Linked DNA regions of Macaca fascicularis. The protein of the gene in region 1 purifies or fractionates together with the protein of each later gene. This does not show direct contact. Links are inferred from orthologs where the notes say so. Each region holds a gene or a part of one and is shown in the gene's direction. Other genes may lie near its edges. The genes, in order: RNF19A and SOD1.

Region 1 (2,915 bases):
AGCTTATGTATAGTCTGAATTTTCCACACAGAAACCCTGCCCCCAGTCATCTGAACAAAAAGAAGTCAGCAATTATGTTTGTATTTGTTACTCTTATATTTCAGAGAAGGCAACAGTATGGAGGTGCAAGTAGATATTGAGTCAAAGCCATCCAAATTCAGGCACAACAGTGGAAGCAGTAGTGTGGATGATGGCAGTGCCACCCGGAGTCATGCTGGTGGTTCATCCAGTGGCTTGCCTGAAGGTAAATCTAGTGCCACCAAGTGGTCCAAAGAAGCAACAGCAGGGAAAAAATCAAAAAGTGGTAAATTGAGGAAAAAGGGTAACATGAAGATAAATGAGACAAGAGAGGACATGGATGCACAGTTGTTAGAACAACAAAGCACGAACTCAAGTGAATTTGAGGCTCCATCCCTCAGTGACAGTATGCCTTCTGTAGCAGATTCCCACTCTAGTCATTTTTCTGAATTTAGTTGTTCTGACCTAGAAAGCATGAAAACTTCTTGTAGTCATGGTTCCAGTGATTATCACACCCGCTTTGCTACTGTTAACATTCTTCCTGAGGTAGAAAATGACCGTCTGGAAAATTCCCCACATCAGTGTAGCATTTCTGTGGTTACCCAAACTGCTTCCTGTTCAGAAGTTCCACAGTTGAATCATATTGCTGAAGAACATAGTAAAAATGGAATAAAATCTAATGTTGATTTATATTTTGGTGATACACTAAAAGAAACAAATAACAACCACTCACATCAGACAATGGAATTAAAAGTTGCAATTCAGACTGAAATTTAGGCCCATAAATGCTGCAAAATAATTACCACTGTACAACCGTGTTTGGAGCTGGTTGAACTACATGTGACTTCTTAAGTTTCAGGTTACAGCAAAAGCCAGGTTTCATTATCATAATGCAGATACATTTTCTGTGTTCAGCAAGGCATTGTGTGTCATGTGGATCTTAGTTACCAAACTATGAAATGAAGGCTTTAAAAGTGCATTATTTTAAGGATAATAAATTTGAAGAGCAAAGCACGTTTTGTGTGTTTGCCACAAAACATTGCTTGAAGCACATACTTAGATAGAAATTGATCTTAATTTATAATCAATATAAAATACTAATGCAATTCTACAGCATTCAAATGAAAACTTGAGGCTTTAGGGATAAGTGGTTAGTGATATTTTATTGAAACCACTAAGAGATAAGTTTAAAGGAACTGCATAGGTTACTCTCAGTATATGATACTCTTTGTAACATTTCTATTTATATCTGGGTATAAATTTCATTTTTTTTCTTCATATGCAATGTGGTTATATAAAGCTTAAAGCAGCTCATTTGCTACCATTTGGATACTTAGACACTTTGAGCAAGATTGTGGCAGTTTTTGCACAACTTTGAAATAGAAATACGTGGTACTCTATCTTGTATATTGTTGATGCCATCTTAGAGGAAAAATGTAAAGGTAAGTAATTAAGCATATGACAGCAACAAATAAGATATATAAAACTACAAAATAAAGTCCCATTAGGTTATAAGTATTACAAAAAAACCACCTTTCTCTAAGGGGAAATTTGTACCCCATTGATTCTTGGTGCCTTTGGGTTTGACTGGGTTTTAATGGCCTAGTTATTTGAGGATTTTGCTGTGTTGTTTTCCATGTCTTCTCTGGTCACCTTGGATTATATAGAAAAATACAGGAAATAGATAAACATGAATGTGATTAATAATAATGCTGAAAAAGTATTAGCCTACCAAAGACACACTCAGGCTTTAGTGAATAACTTTACATAACCTCAATTTTTAACACATGCGTATCTTCTCCAACCATGAAATCAAAGCACGGTGCAGAGCTTGTACCAAGTACAAAAGGTCCATGTATGATTAGCATTATTTTCTTTTGGTTTTGTTTATGGACAATGTTCAGCTGACATAAGCAGAAGTTGGCCAAAATACTGCCTGTACTGTTAATTTCCTGTATAATTCACTTAAATAAAAGCAGGTTAACCTCAATGATAGCAGTTAAAATGTTCTATCTTATGTATTTCTTTTAAGTATTACCATTATGGTGCTACTGAGCGTTTTCTTTTGGTAAAAAGAAAAATGCCATGGGCTGCAGTCTTCTTCCATCACTTTTCCCTACCAGGTCCATTAATATGCTTATAACACTAGTGCCAGTTATTTTATTTGATAATGCTTATGGTATTTGTATATTTGTTTGCATTCCAATTTTGTTTAATGAGTGTGTAAACTGCATACGTTAAATAAATGTAAATACTAATGTATTGCTGCCTTCTGGTGTGTGTACAAGTGTTTTATTATAAGAATGGGAATATTCATTGGCCCTGTGGTAGTGTTCATAAATATTGCAAGCCTTTGTGATTATTCTGCCTTTTGGTCTCAGCCCAAAGGAAAGCATTTGCTGAACTTTTCAACAGTGTTAGAAACTACCCTTTTTTCCTGTCTAATTCCTGCTTTTCCACCAGAAGAAAAGATGCCATATACATAAACATAATTTTTTTGAGTAAATTGGTTGAATTTAACTTGAGTAAATATATGTATCATTAAATTGTGAAGAGAAATCAGTATTATAAATCCTCATCTTTGAAAAATGGAAAGGTCAGCTAACTTGGGAAAAGGGGAAAAAAGTAAAAAGATCTTAAAAGACTGTTTTAAGAGATTCTATTCTAGCAACATTAGATTATGAAACTGGAGCCATTTAAATTCAAGCTAATTGTAATCAGATGCTTTCTATTCTTGTAGCCTCTGTAAAATGCGTAGATGGTTTTTCTGTTTCTCTGGTATATAGTTAATACTTGATGAAAATAATTTTTTTTTGTTCTTTTTTTTTTTTTTTTTTTTTTTGAGATGGAGTCTCACTTTGTAGCCCAAGCCTGGAGTGCAGTGGTGCGATCTTGGC
Region 2 (4,291 bases), on another chromosome or scaffold:
GATGATAAAAAAATGTGAATTGTGTTTTCTCTGATAGAGGATGCATTAGAGTCTGAGGGTCTAAATAACATAAATAATAAATAAGTAAATAAATAGATAGTAGTGTACTCCAAACGAGGCTGGAATAGCTTCTATCGTTGTTTCACGCTGGACTTGAATTAAGTCTGAGTATTTTGCCATGCTCAGTACGAAATACTAGGCTGGACGTGGTGGCTTATGTCTGTAATCCCAGCACTTTGAGAGGCCGAGGTGGGCAGACCGCTGGCTTGAGCTCAAGAGTTTGAAACCAGCCTGGGCAACATGGTAAAACCCCATCTCTACCCAAAATACAAAAATCAGCCAGGTGTGGTGCCACATGCCTGTGGTCTCAGGTACTTGGGAGGCTGAGGCAGCAGGATGACTTTTGAACCCAGGAGGTCGAGGCTGCAGTGAGCTATGATCGTGCCACTGCACTCCAGCCTGGGTGACAGAGCAATACCCTGTCTCAAAAATCAAATAAACAACCCCTTTGCCCCGGACAAAAGTAGTTTGTACTATTTTCTCATTTCATCAAAGTTTTTGAAATATTTCCCTTGAAAGGTAAGTCATATTTATCATTCCTGTTGTATGGAGACATCACAAATTATTTCACCATTCTACCCTCCTTGAGTGTTGTGGCCTTGGGGCCAGGCAAAAACGCAGGAGATGCCTAGAAGCCAACTAGTTGCCGTTTTGGTTATCTGTGGGGTTGTAGCGTTGCCAAACAGGAAAAATATAAAAAGAATACCGAATTCTGCCAACCAAATAAGAAACTATGTGCTAAGGACTAAAACAACTGCAGGGGAAGAAAAGGTGAGGCCAGGGATTGAGGTGTAGCGACTTTCTATGCCCTCAGAAAATTAAAAAACAAGACAAAAAAAAAAAGAAAACTACAAAAGCATCCATCTTGGGCCGTCCTAATTTCTGAGTAACAAATGAGATGCTGTGGCGAAAGTCAGTCATAACCAATGACATTTCTAGACAAAGTGACTTCAGATTTTCAAGGCGTACCTTGTTTACATCATTTTGCCAATTTCGCGTCCTGCAACCGTCGGGCCACGCCCCCGTGAAAAAAAGGCTGTGTTTTTTTCCATTTCGGGGTTCTGGACCTTTCCCGGCTGCGGGGCGGGGGGAAGTCTGAGGCGCACGCGGCCCCTTGGCCCCGCCCCCAGTCATTTCCTGCCACTCGCGTCCCGAGGCTGCCGCAGGGGGCGGGCTGAGCGCGTGCGCTGTGACTGGTTTGGGGCCAGAGTGGGCGGGGCGCGGAGGTCCGGCCTATAAAGTAGTCGCGGCGCCGTGATCCCGCTTTGCGGCATAGTCTCCTGCAGCGTTTGCGGTCAGTCTCGCAATATTCGGAAGCAGGACCGCGGCGTGGCCTAGCAAGTCATGGCGATGAAGGCCGTGTGCGTGTTGAAGGGCGACAGCCCAGTGCAGGGCACCATCAATTTCGAGCAGAAGGCAAGGGCCGGGGCGGAGGCTTGTTTGCGAGGCCGCTCCCGCCCGCTCGTCGCCCCGAGCACCTGTGCTAGGAGCGGGTGGCCAGCCAGGCCTCGGGACCGCCCTGGTCCCGCGCCCGGCCTCGGGCCGCGCCGCCCGGTCGGTGCCTTTGCCCCCAGCGGTGCGGTGCCGGCTAAGTGCTGAGTCATCGGGCGGGCCCGGGTGCGGGGTGTGCGACCGAGGCCGCCGCGGGGCTGGGCCTGCGCGTGGCGGGAGCGCGGGGAGGGATTGCCGCGGGGGCGGGCGTGGGCGTGCTGCCCTCCGGGGTCCGTGGGCGGCCGCCGCGGGCTCTGTCGTGGTGCTTGGAGCAGCTGTGCTCCTCCCTTGCTTGGCTGTGTTCTCGTTCCTGAGGGTCCCGCGGACACCGAGTGGCGCAGTGACAGGCCCGGCCCGGGGTGGCGACTGCGCCTGGGCCCGGCTGGTGTCTTAGCATCCCTCTCCGCGTTCCAGCTTCAGCGCTCTGGGTCAGGGAGTCTCCGCTTTTGTACAGCTCTAAGGCTAAGTATGGGTTTTATATTTTTAAAAGGCTTTGGTAAACAAAAATACGCAACAGAGACCGTTTGTGTGACACTTTGCAGGAGTTTGTTGGCCTCTGTTCTAGGTCATGGTTGGGCTGCAAGGGCAGAGAAGGTAGCCTTGGATAGAGGTCCTTTTCCTCCTCCTAAGCTCCGAGAGCCAGAGTTTTAACTGACCGTTTTGGGGACTTTCGAGGGCGATGATTCTTAACTTTGGGTGCACAGTTAGCTTATTTGAAGATCTTACTAAAAATACACCAGAGCCCAACCTCAGACCAATTACATCAAAACCTGTCCCAGCGCAGGTGATTATTGCTGTTTTTTAAGTTTCCAAATGTGATTTTGATGTGCACCTACGATTGAGGACTGTTGTTTGAGGACAGTGGGTGGGGTTTGGGATTTGGAAATTGGAAGACCTGAAGTTTCCATTACACGGAATTGGTACTTAGTAACTCTTGTCGGAGCATTTCTTAAGCCACATTTTCTGTGAAGTGGCTTTAAAATTGCTCTGCCAGTAGGCAGGTTGCTAAGATGGTCAGAGACAAACTTCTGAACGACTCTTGTAAAATGTACAGAAATATTTTCATAACTATTATCAGTAAAATTGCAAAACGTCTTGCAAGGAAGGTGCTTGTGATAACACTGTCCCCCAGAGCCTTAGTGAAGTTACCAACTGGTGGAAAATTGTCTCGTACTCGGCTTAAAAGTCATGAGAGAATATTTATCATATGAATGAGATTCAGTCTTTAAAGGTGTTTACAGAAAGGTGAGAGGACAGGAACAGTTAGTCTGTGCAAGTGTCTGAAATGTGTATGAGGGAGATACGAGTTTAGCTTTTTTCTTTAATACGTCTCCAGATTTTCTGGAAAAGGTTCTTTGGCATTTGACTCCATTTTGCTGTTTCATTTGTCAGACTTCGTTTTGTCCCTCTTTACTTATTCCCACATAATTCACTAGTACTAGTGTTGTGTTTTGTTTCTGAGACCGAGTCTTGCTCTCTTGCCCAGGCTGGAGTGCAGTGGCGCGATCTCGGCTCACTGCAACCTCCGCTTCCTGGGTTCAAGCAATTCTCCTGCCTCAGGCTCCCGGGTAGCTGGGATTACAGGCGCGTGCCACCACGCCCAGCTAATTTTTTGTATTTTAGTAGGGACCGGATTTCACCATGTTGGCCAGGATGGTCACGATCTCTTGACCTGGTGATCCACCCGCCTCGGCTTCCCAGAGTGGTGGGATTACAGGCGTGAGCCACCGCGCCCGGCCACCAGTACTAGTCTTAAGACGCCTCTGTGGAATTCCTTCTCCCTGGCCTTTGAGAATCCATGCATGAACCCAGGTTTCTGTCATTTTCCACCTTCCCTGAGCAGCGTGCATAGTTCCTTCTTTTAAGCGCCTGACTTCGTTTTGGTTGGTGCCCCTTGTACCTGAGAAAGAGCCTTGGATAGTGGAGCATTCCAGCTTTCCAGATATGCAGAGATAATAAATTGGCTATAAACTACCTGGCGTGGCCTATTCCGTGTTTAAAATCTTAGACTCGTGGCTAGTTTTTACAAATCAGAATCTTTCACCTAATAGTCCAGTTTTCCTAGCTTCTCTTGAAGAATTGTTGGAGATCTCTTCATACTGAGCCTTCATTAGCCCAGGACAGTACTGCTGGAGCTTTCCAGGCCTGTGTTACTCACTTGAGTTCACAGCCTGGTCCCTGTAGGGTTGTACCTAAGCACAGCTACTTACATGTTCCCAATGTATTACCCGTTAAATGGAGGTTTGAAAGAACCTCCTCTTTTTGGCCCTGTGCTCTTGATAACACAGCATATTTGAGGGACAACTTTCACATTTGAGTTTTTCCAAAATTAGAGGTTGTAGAAGAGTCACAGTGTCTATTCTGAAAAAGAAAAGAATTTTTAAAAGGCCGCAATTGCCAGAATCCTTCGTTTGAGCAGTGGTATTTTCCAGTGGAAAGTCATGTCTTAAGGGTTAATGCCCCTTAACTGTTGTCCCTATTTGAAAACCAAGCTAAAAACAAGAGACACAAACATGTATGACGGTGTGGTGTGGATGATGTGTTTATTTTAGTCCTGAGATCTACTCGTAACGTCCTTGATTTCTGTATGTAGCCACGGAGCACCATTACCTGTCACCATTGCCTGAATGGCGATACTGCTTGCTTGCTTTTTGGTAGAGTGGAAAGGTTATCTAGGTTTCAGTGCTTGAAAAGATTTCAGAAAACAGTAGTACCTCTGGTTAGACTAGAATCAGTCCTC

The links.
Region 2: the proteins of RNF19A (region 1) and SOD1 purify together in Homo sapiens (affinity purification with western blotting, with the first as the bait; 3 studies listed by BioGRID). This does not show direct contact. The link is inferred for Macaca fascicularis from reciprocal best matches to the Homo sapiens genes RNF19A and SOD1.

The regions. Positions count from the first base shown.
Region 1 is NC_088382.1:109,875,575-109,878,489, reverse strand, and holds the end of RNF19A (E3 ubiquitin-protein ligase RNF19A), read left to right. Parts: intron 1-104; coding exon 105-795; 3' UTR 796-2,280; downstream 2,281-2,915. UniProt on the Homo sapiens protein: E3 ubiquitin-protein ligase which accepts ubiquitin from E2 ubiquitin-conjugating enzymes UBE2L3 and UBE2L6 in the form of a thioester and then directly transfers the ubiquitin to targeted substrates, such as SNCAIP or CASR.
Region 2 is NC_088377.1:15,217,509-15,221,799, reverse strand, and holds the start of SOD1 (superoxide dismutase [Cu-Zn]), read left to right. Parts: upstream 1-1,327; 5' UTR 1,328-1,404; coding exon 1,405-1,476; intron 1,477-4,291. UniProt on the Homo sapiens protein: Destroys radicals which are normally produced within the cells and which are toxic to biological systems.